2 linked regions of the Caenorhabditis elegans genome follow. The protein of the gene in region 1 interacts with the protein of each later gene in a pairwise test. Each region holds a gene or a part of one and is shown on either strand. Other genes may lie near its edges.

What was found. The genes of interacting proteins can lie anywhere in the genome.
Region 2: the proteins of M03B6.1 (region 1) and ddi-1 interact in a two-hybrid assay, tested with the Caenorhabditis elegans proteins (one large-scale study listed by BioGRID).

Annotation. Positions count from the first base shown.
Region 1 is NC_003284.9:13,839,459-13,844,606, reverse strand, and holds M03B6.1 (uncharacterized protein), read right to left. Parts: upstream 2,998-5,148; 5' UTR 2,980-2,997; coding exon 2,778-2,979; intron 2,083-2,777; coding exon 1,871-2,082; intron 1,684-1,870; coding exon 1,645-1,683; 3' UTR 1,285-1,644; downstream 1-1,284. Other genes in the region: M03B6.5 (uncharacterized protein), read right to left, coding at 1-212, 265-319.
Region 2 is NC_003282.8:6,520,572-6,525,784, reverse strand, and holds ddi-1 (Protein DDI1 homolog 1), read right to left. Parts: upstream 2,919-5,213; 5' UTR 2,912-2,918; coding exon 2,840-2,911; intron 2,793-2,839; coding exon 2,688-2,792; intron 2,642-2,687; coding exon 2,275-2,641; intron 2,225-2,274; coding exon 2,079-2,224; intron 2,028-2,078; coding exon 1,799-2,027; intron 1,745-1,798; coding exon 1,615-1,744; intron 1,561-1,614; coding exon 1,440-1,560; 3' UTR 1,214-1,439; downstream 1-1,213. Other genes in the region: C01G5.5 (NADP-dependent oxidoreductase domain-containing protein), read right to left, coding at 1-124, 181-293, 342-475, 922-1,020, 1,074-1,145; gtnt-2 (Glycosyltransferase family 92 protein), read right to left, coding at 3,567-3,972, 4,018-4,124, 4,167-4,325, 4,383-4,671. UniProt on the Caenorhabditis elegans protein: Aspartic protease. Required for the cleavage and activation of transcription factors such as isoform a of the transcription factor skn-1, which in turn regulates the expression of proteasomal subunits such as rpt-3.

The DNA.
Region 1 (5,148 bases):
CATGAGAAGAACGAAATAAAACCAAACTATGGAAATATCGCCAATGTTTCGCCGATTTTGCGGATGATTCTTGCAGCATCTTTGATGTTTTCCACTCCATTGGTACAATGTGCAGCACACTTTTTCCCGATTTATTTGGATTTCTTCAAATTGAATTCCACTTTCTTCATCGTCCTGGCTTTCCACTTTGATTCCAGGTACTTCTATTGGAACTGAAATTGAGATCAATTTTTTTTAAATAATAAACTAAAAAAAATCACTCACTGGAAAACCGTACTTGACTTGTACTAGTACTAGGATATGAATCAGAAAGCTCCATTTGTAATAAATATCAATAATATTATGGAAAAATAATAGAAGTTTTGATTGACGCAGATGCGACAAAAATCCAATAAAAACGTGAGATTACTGCCTCAAAAAATTGTGCGGGATTTAATTGATGAGATGGGGGGACGCACCGCACACGCGTCGCTCTTCAACCTGTGACAAAAGTTTGGAAAGATGAGAAGGTCTTTGAGCAATAGATAATCATCAACAACTTTTTTGACATTTGTTCCAGAAAAGAATAGAGAAAGTTTTTATAAATTTAAAGCGAATACTAAAACTTTCACATACATATGTAGTTACATGCTAGCATATTGACTCTAATGCGTCTTTCCAGATTCTCAAAATTTTTTTGGCAATTACCGAAATTTTCGGCAATCGGTAATTCTGGCAATTGCCGATTGCCGGTCACTTTTGGCAATTTTTAATCATAATTATATTTTGAACCATGACAAAAGTTCAGTTTGTTTTTCAGTATTCGGTTAGTCACTTTCTAATAGAAAACGTTCAATCTTAAAGGATCAAAACAGTTTGAGCTTGAAAAGGAAATTTTATTTATTTATTTAAATGCATGGTTAGGCTTCTAAGTCTACAAAAAGTATCAAATTTATATTTCCAGGAATTTTAATTTTCGGCAATCAGCAATTCCGGCAATCGGCAATTTGGGCAATTTCAGCTGCGCAACCATGATTTCAAGGCAATGGAGCATGAGGTCTATCTGTTTTCTAAAAAGTTGGCCATAGTCCAACCAATCGCACATGACTGATTGTCGTTATTACTGCATTTTTAAGAAAGATATATGTAAGCGTTCCCCCATCCACTCAGCCCTCTCCAATAATCAGAGATTGAATTTATCGAAATGTCAAAGTGTAATTTTGTTGGTAACCAATGTGAGAATCGGGATGATGAAACTTTGTATTCGAGAAGGTGATTGCTGATAACAAGAGATATGAAAAATGTACTGTTCCAAAAAATTTATATCATAATCAATCATCTCGTTGCGCGTGTCATTGAAATATGAAGCGATACACTTTCTTGCAAAATTTATTTCTGATAAGATATTTGTGCTGGGGAGCTATTTCTCAAACCGTCCCTAACAGGTCACACTTTTACAAAAATATTTTTTGACATTTTATTTCAATTTTCAAAATATAGAATATTGGCAAATCACTATGTTTACATGGAAGCTTAAAAATTTTTTTTCATAAAAAATACACTTTTCACGCGTTTACAATTAATAATTTGGACTGAAAACTACTTGTGGATTTTAATTTAAAAACATAGCAATGAAATTTTTGAATGTCCTTGATGTTTTCCACTTCATGCTTTTGGGCAAGTGGTGGGAGAGGTCGTTGGTTCCTGAAACAAAATTAAATTAGAAAAATGCAATTCGGCTTTGTGATTTTTAATTGATAGAGCATAGACAAATGGTGGCCTAAAAGTTAGTAGAAAACTCTAACAGACGTTCAAATTGAATGTTCAAACATCAGAATGAATTAAATGGAACAGTCAGCTGGTTTTTATCAAGTCCAAAGTATATTCTTACCTGTACACAATCCAACAAATTACCCTTCTTTGCTGCATCACGCTCGCGAATTCTTTCTTGGATGATTATCTCAGTGTGTTTGAGAATTCGAAGATCTACTAGTGGCTGAAGATCACGGTAAAGCATGAAATCAATGTACTCTTCGGAAAAGATAATTCTCCCATCCGGGCCACGTGGTTGCTCGTCAAGTGTTGGACATTTCCTGGCTTTCACTGAAAATACAGGAGTATAAATATGGTAAACAAGTACCCGCGAAAACGTTTCAGAAACAAAAAAAAAATTAATGAAGTCTATCATTTGATCTTTTGAACACGAAGAATTCCAAAAATGGATTTTCCCACAGGCACATGAAAAAGTGATGTTTGTAATGGAAAGCATGAGAGATTTATGCTGCAACATTAAACTTATTTATAGGAATTTGAAATTCAAGTATTTGTACTTTGTAACTGATTTATTGATACCTAGATTCAACAAAAAATTGGGCTACTTTAAAGACACCCTCCTGAGCATGATCAACAGAGCACTTTTAACGTAGAAAAACAGAAAGTTAGTCAATTTGCAGTTTTACAAAATATTACCAGCAGACTGTTTTTTTTTGTTGCATAGTTAATGAGCTGATGGAATAGTGTATCTCGTTAGAGATAGAGTAGGGTCTTAGGATGGGGTAATTTTAAAATGTTACACTTTCTTTTAAAGCATTGTTTCAAGTTCAACCCCTTCTGATTTTCAAATACAAGAAAGCAAAATAGATTCATAATATTTTGCTTAAAACTTGTTTGAAACCCCGTTTTTTGGTCGACTTCCAAAATTATGAGTGAAAAAACCGAATGATTGCTATTTGCAACAGAAAATATGAAATATCACCAACTTGTTGAAAATTTTGTTACAAAAAAATTAAATAGCTCACTTTTATGATATTCAATAATTTTCAGCCTTTGAAGTTCCTTGTTCTGAGCAGCAAGCTCTTCCAAAGGAACATCCAAATTATCATTGATAAAATCCTCTGCTTGTTTTCGCTCCTTTTCGGCAATTGAAGTTGAACTTTCGGCATTTCGGTTGATCGGCCTTGAAGATGACGGTCTTCCGGAATACATCAAAACCCACTCCATGACTTGGTCAGCTGAAACACGAAAAATGAGTGCCGCGCAATTTCTTATACTCTCAATATTCTCAGAAATGACTCCGCCCTTCAGTCAAACAAGGGCAATTACTCATCCAGGGGAAAGGGGGAGGAAGAATGTTCTCTGCAAAAACTTGCTCATTGAGCTCAGCAGGATCACTCAGCCACTTGTCAGACATTTGGGTGGAAATCAAGAGAGATGAGAAAGAAGAAGAAAAAGATAGAAGCTTGCATAAAAAAAGATTTTTGCAAATGCAAGTGAATCATTTGTTCCACCATGGGCGTGACAGCTCAGGATTACGTTTGAATAATTTTGAATCAACTGGAGCCATTATCTTTTGAAACCAAATTAGACTAGCGCACTAATTTACTAATCAGACTAAATTTATTTTTCAAAAAACTTGTAAATACTCATTCGCAATCATATAATCTTGCACCAAAAGGCATATCGTTGTAGAGCCTTCAAAATTTGAAAATGCATATAAATATGGTACATATATATATATATATATATATATATATATATATATATATATATATATATATATATGTATACATGTGAAAAAACATGTTTAAGTAGTTATTTTTAACCTTGTTTTCCACAAATAAAACACGGAACAACAATTTTTTTTAAATCATAAAACTAGTTTCAGAAGTTATTTTTAAAATTGAAAAAAGAATCCCCCAAATTTGCTCTTTAACGTATTCAAATATCATCCACTTTTTTCGTGATTTAATTTTTTCGATTCAAATTTCCGATTTTTTTTTCAGCCGTTTTTTATCTCCCAAATCCTCAAGTTTTCATTAAAAAAATTCACTGAAATGAAACAAATGAACAAGTTGGCAAAGAAAAATCATGAAAATTGGATTGCATGGTGCCGATCTAATTTTGAAACAAAATAAAACGAAACGAGGAAAAGATCTTTTGAATTTGTAAACAAAAAGTTAATGAAATGGAAATTGGAATTCGTGTGGAGCAGACACAACAATGAATGAAAATCGAAAATAGACTGAAATGAGGAAGGACATTTGAAACTAGAAATCTAAGAAAAAAGTTATGGGAATAAGAATTTTTTGCAATTCAACGTATGTTTACAGGTATTTATAGATTTACAAGTTACGCTAATCAGAAATTTGTGAGGAAATGATGTAACACGTAGGCGTGTGAGTTGCAGTGCCCAAAACATGTTGGGTGCTTCGAAAAACAAAACTGTGGCTGGCAAGTTACTTCCGCAGAAAGCGGGTTATGAAAACAATGCACACGTAAAATTGTTTGTCAATTTGAACAAAAAATTTTCATCAATAAATATATAAACTGTTACTTTAAGTCCCAAGTAGTTTATAGCAAAACGAGAAAAGTGTTGAAGTTTTGGAGACCACGATACAAAAAATTCAAGAAAAAAAAATCAAACGCAAGATAATTTGCCTGGAATCAAATCTGAGAAGAAGTAAAAATATTTTTTTCTATAAGATTTTGAATATAAATCAAATTTAAAAAGTCTGGTCTGGCCAATTTTTGTCTCATTTATTCATGTCGATGTTCTTACCAGTCTTTAAACGCTTTTAAATCTTTAAATCTTTAAGTCTTTAAATGTTTCAGATTATTATTTTTTAAATAAAAAACATGACCAAATTTGATTTATAATTTTAACAGTTGTAATGCTAAAGTGGTACCTACATATTACATTTTTTTAACATTCGGTACGGATAAAAAATTATTAGGTGCGCCACGCCATACTCAAAACTTAAAAATGAAAACATCACTGTTTTTTCACATTATTTGAAAAAACCTCACCAACTTTAATAACCAACTTCCTTCTAAAAACAAATATGTTTTTTTTTCTTCTTTTCATTTTTGAAATCTCTGATCATTTTGGAGAAAAACAGTTATTTTCAAAAAAAAATTGAAAAATATTTATTCTCTTCCTTCGCGGGTCTTCTTTCATTTTATTTCACTATTATACAAATATTTGCTCCTGGTCTGTAGGAAAAAAGTTACGCACCAAAAAAAATGACCAGCGACCAACAACACAATAATATTGCTGGAAATGTTAAGTTGACTGAAAACAGAAGTGCCGAATATTGTTCGAAAACACGGAACTAAAGGGCACGGTAGAAACGGGATTTGTGTTTTTGGTATTAGAATAATGAAATGCAA
Region 2 (5,213 bases), on another chromosome or scaffold:
CGCTGGAAGTGAGGATGATATTCGATTTGATTGACTTGTGGTTCAATTGTGATGTAACTTCTCATCTCTTCAATGTGATGTGGTTCGTAGTTTGAGACTCCGATTGAGCGAATTTTTCCCTCGGCTGGAAACGGATAATTGATAATTTTTCCAATTTTTCAATAAAGATTGTAATAATACCATGCAACTTCTCCAGTGCAATCCACGTATCTTTACGATACATTTTGTTATTTTCATTAAGATCTTCAGTGTCAAGAGGACGAGGGTAGTGTACAAGAACCAAATCCAAATATCTGAAATTTTCATAGGAAATTTAAATAGATTTTGATATTTCTTCTTACTTTCTATCTAACAATTCCAGTGATTCATTGACATCTTTTCTGATTAGCTCAGCAGCATTTTTACTTGAATACGGAAACACTTTGGATGTCAAGTAGATATCCTCAGAACAAATATTGTGACGTGGGAGAAGAGTCTGAAAGTTGTTTGTCAAAAAAATATTTTCGATCTAGCGTATAACCCAGATGACAAAATTTCCGCTAAAACTACTGTACGCGGTCTCGAAACGACAATTTTTGTTAAATACAAACAGATGTGCTCCATTAAAGAGTACTGTAAAAAATTTTAAGCTTTCGTTTCTGCAGAATTTTTATTGATTTTCACACGAATGATAAAAATGGTTGTGTCTTTAATTAAGAAAAACTACGAAAATCAATTATAATTCATGGTGCAACGTGAAGAGAATGGAATTACAGTACTCTCTAAAGGCGCACACCTTTTCGCAATTAGCAAACATTTGCCGCGCCGAGACCGCGTAACGTATGTTTGGCACAAAACGCGAGTCTGGGTAATGATATATTTTCTATCAGATTCTTTTTTTCCTAAAAAAGCATGTTTGCGTTTTATTTCGTTAATTCATACTTTAAGAGCTAAACCCAAATCCTTTTCATTTTCATAGTACTTCGCTGTGTCGAAACTACGGTATCCAACTTTGAGTGCTTCGTCGACAGCTGCGAAAAGCTAAAAAAGGTAAAATAAAATAACGAAGTTCAAAAATAAAAAATATTCCAAACCTGATCACCTTTGGCTTCGTATGTCCCGAGAGCCAATTTCGGAATTTCTTGTCCGTTCTTCAGCTTGAACATTGCTGCTATTTACAAAATCTATTATACAACCTGAAAAACGCCTGTGGCAACAAAATGGACAGCGAAAATGAAAAAAAAATATATATTTGAGATATTTACTGGGAATTTCCCATGGGAACAACTCGTGGTAGTTTCCATGGAGAAAAAAGAAGTGATACGCACAGAAAGAGTGTATTTGCAGAAAAAAAAGAATTCCGTATAATATTTGCAGTGAAGAAAATACAAGTAAAGTGGCATTGAAATGTTTTTGATGAAAAGACAAGGAGATTTGAAGGATAAATTGTAGGGGCGGAACTATGTGGATCCATCTTCGAATTGCATTTCTTCTTCAGGAAGTGCCATAATCTCTTTCAGATGAGAATCAATTTCATTGGATTGAAGGAATGGAGTTGTTGTTCCGTTGCCAAACTCCAATCTCAAAAAGAAAAAAAAATTTAGATTTCGCGAGATTTTCGTGAGGGAAACATACCGTGAAGTTTTCAGATTAATACAACACCCATGCTTACGGAGCACATTAAGCCCGATGAGAAGATCCATCTCACGACGAGCCATTACCTCGAATGGGCATGAAAAGTGAGCATCTTCAACTTTCACATCGCCTGAAAACATTTATTAAAATGAATGTGAATCAATGTTGGAAACTTTTGACTCACATAAATGAATCTTTCCCTCGATTTTCTCTGTTCCACCAACTCCTCGGGCCATTGACTGGAACCGTCTATCGATTAATCCATTAAGACCACAACGTTCAGCACATGCCATTGACATGATCGATTTTTGAGCTCCAGAATCAATGAAAGCTTTGACTGGAACACCATTTATAGTCAAATTGATGTAGAGCATTGTGACGGCAATCATATCTTCTGGGTGGTGGGTCATTGACTGAAATTATAACAATTTGTATATATTTACAGGCTTCTATTGTAAACTTACGTGTAAATATTGTTCATCAATCAGTTCTTTATTTCTTTTCGCTTCCAAAAACATTTTTGCTTCTGCTGAATTTGGATTGTTTTTGATAATTTCTTCCTTGTGAACTTCTTCTTCGACGTAGGAACGGAACATTTGCTCGAATTCCTCTGAAAATTAGATAGGCGTCAGATAAAGATTTAAAAAATGCGCTACTCACTGTAAGTCATATCTTTTTTCGCCAAAAAGCGTTCAACAAGTTCCGGCAAACCGTAGCCCAATTTGTGTGGCTCGTTTTTCAAACGGAAGAACATATTTTCTGAGAGCGCTTTGAACGTCGCAGGAGAATCCAAAAGTTTCCGAGAGAACATCGATTTTTCACCTTCATCATCTTGTTCAACTCTCCGTGTTCTCTGAGCAGACTGTGCTGAGGAAGACGATTGTCCATTAAAAATACTCGACGCAGCTGAAGCGAATTGCGAGATGAGCCGGACTTGTGCTGGAACGATCGATCGGAGATCTCCAGACGGACATGGGAACGCAGTGGTATATATGTAAACCATTGAAATTTGAGTGACGCCAAGTTGCTGAACTTATAGTATGATTAAGATTTTCTTTAACAATTCGATTTACCTCTAATGTCACTGTTGGACCAAAATTCTTCGATTCATCCGAAATATCGTAGACAATTGCAGTATCTTTCCAAATCAGTATTGCGTCGTTATTCAGATCACCAATCTGCAAAAAAATTGAATAAAAGATTACATTTAAGTATTAAAACTAACAGTTGTGTTTGGTGTAACACTTTTCTTTTGGAATGGTCCATCGTTAACGGCTACGCTCACTTGGAAAGACATCTGAAAATTAGAAGAATAAATGAGAAATGAGATTGAAAAAGGAAGAATGAGAAAAAATCGAAGAACATTTGCGTATTTGTAAATGAAAACGCTGCATCTCTAGAGCATAAACGCATCTAATCGATGAAAAAATTAATTACACAAAACCGTTCTCTCGGGAAACTTTTTGTCCTTTCAAATAAAGATTCGAAAGTTAAAAGAATGGAACCTGAGAATTTGTGAAGTAGAACATTTTAACTTTAACTTTATAAGCTTTCTCGACAACAGCTGTTCAAAAAAGTGTAAAAACTTGTCTAAAACTCGAGAAATTCTCGTGATGAAGGACGAAAACGGTGCAAAACGATGACAAGGAACAGATATGAAAGTGCGCCCCGCTGAGAATTTTTGAATTAAAATTGTGAAATGACTGTAATTTTTGCTGGAAACTGCCAGTAAATGAGGAAATATGTGTTTTACGAAATAAATTATTATTGCTGTCGTTAAAAATTCACGATTTTGAAAAAAAAACTTAACATGTTTTTGCTTCAAAAATATTTTTCCGAGAAGCTACAGTATTCCGACGCAAAATGTTTGGTATAATATTTTTATTCTCTCAAAAATACATCAAAATACAGAAAACAAAACAAATCAAAAACATTTATTAACCCGTAATGTTCTAAAATTTCGCAATAATTTTTGCAACCCTTTCAATAATACGACTAGATAAACCAGGAGATAGTTGAAAATGGAAAAAGTTGCCAAAAGATTCGGCTTCTCTTAAAAAGAAACTCCATCCTTTAATCAATCGATAGTGTCGGACAACTGCAATTTCTGGCTCCACAAGTCGGACTCCATAGATCGGATTTCGGAACTTTTGAACTCCGTGCACACCCATCGAGTCAACATTTCGGGACCGAATAATCGATTTTGTAGTATGATTCTGCGGTGCCACGTGGCTGGTGTTATGCCAAGTAATCATTGGAAGATTCTCAATTTGAGGAGCACCAGAAGAAATTTCAGAATATCGAAGAGTCCATTGACAACGAAAACGTAGTTCAGAGATTTTATGATCATTGCAATTTCTGTCAATATAGAGAGTTGGATAAAAAAGTAAGCAAAATGAAAACCTGATATAATCTAAAAGAGTAGATTTCTCATCAATCATCATGATCCTTTCGTCCAAATCAACCGTTGCCACCCAGCTTGAGTACTTTTGAGTTCGGAATACACAGTCCTGAATTAATTTTATTTTTAAATTAAAATAATTGAAACAAACCTGTAACTGCATCTCATGTCTGCATCTATGACGATTTAGACATTTAGTTTCATTTCCCATTTGTATTACTTCAAGGTTTGAGGAATTTCTATAGAAATCCAAAACATTTTCAGTTTCCTTTGAGATGTTGAATGAGTAAATTAGAAAATGGTCAGCGCCCTGAAATGCACTTTATTTCTAAAAATAACTACTCTACCGTAACCCCAAGACACTAACCTGCAACTTATAATATTCAATAAATTCCATCAACATCAACACTTTCGGAGATTCTCCATAAAGTGGAGCAAGACATACAGTAAACTCTGATTTGTTCTTTGTTTCTTTTTCTTTGTAAATCTGCTTCATATTCCCTGGAACATCCTTTTTGTTTATAGTTACAGCAACGAACTCGGCTTTTACTGAGGAACTCTCCGAGCACTTTATTGTTAATTCGGGGAAAACTGCCACGGCTTTCTGATAGATTTCCTGCCTATTTTCATCGAATAAACGACAGTAGACACGTCGGCTGAAAATAATTATAGATATGGAATGCTCACTAAGCTTAATGGAGCTGCTGCTCAGGAGTAGTCACCCGATCTTTGACCAACGTTTGACCCCTAATATTTAAACATTGCAAAAAGTAGTGATTTCGGCTTACATTCAGACATTCAACTGAAATCTATTTTATTTGAAAGAGTACGTATAAATGTGGTCACTATCAAACATTTAGCGGTAGAAGAGCACTTTTTGAAAGCAAAATAAATAATTTAACAACTGTCTTATAAAATTGTTTTCCACTTCTCATGTTGTTGTTAAGATGTTTTCTGAACCTAGAAACTACGTGGTGTGTCTTCTAAACAAATTTTAAAGATAAAACTTAACATTTTTGAACGATTCGAGTGAAAAATTACGTTTTTTTCCGAAAAAAAACTCCAATAAGCTACCAGAATGTTCACCAACTCGGTAAAATTCATAAGCGCCAAATCAACTTTTTGGAGCAATTTTAAGGATCTCTGAAACAGTAGAAAAAAACTAAACTGCATAACTTCAGATAGTCTTTTTTTCTTC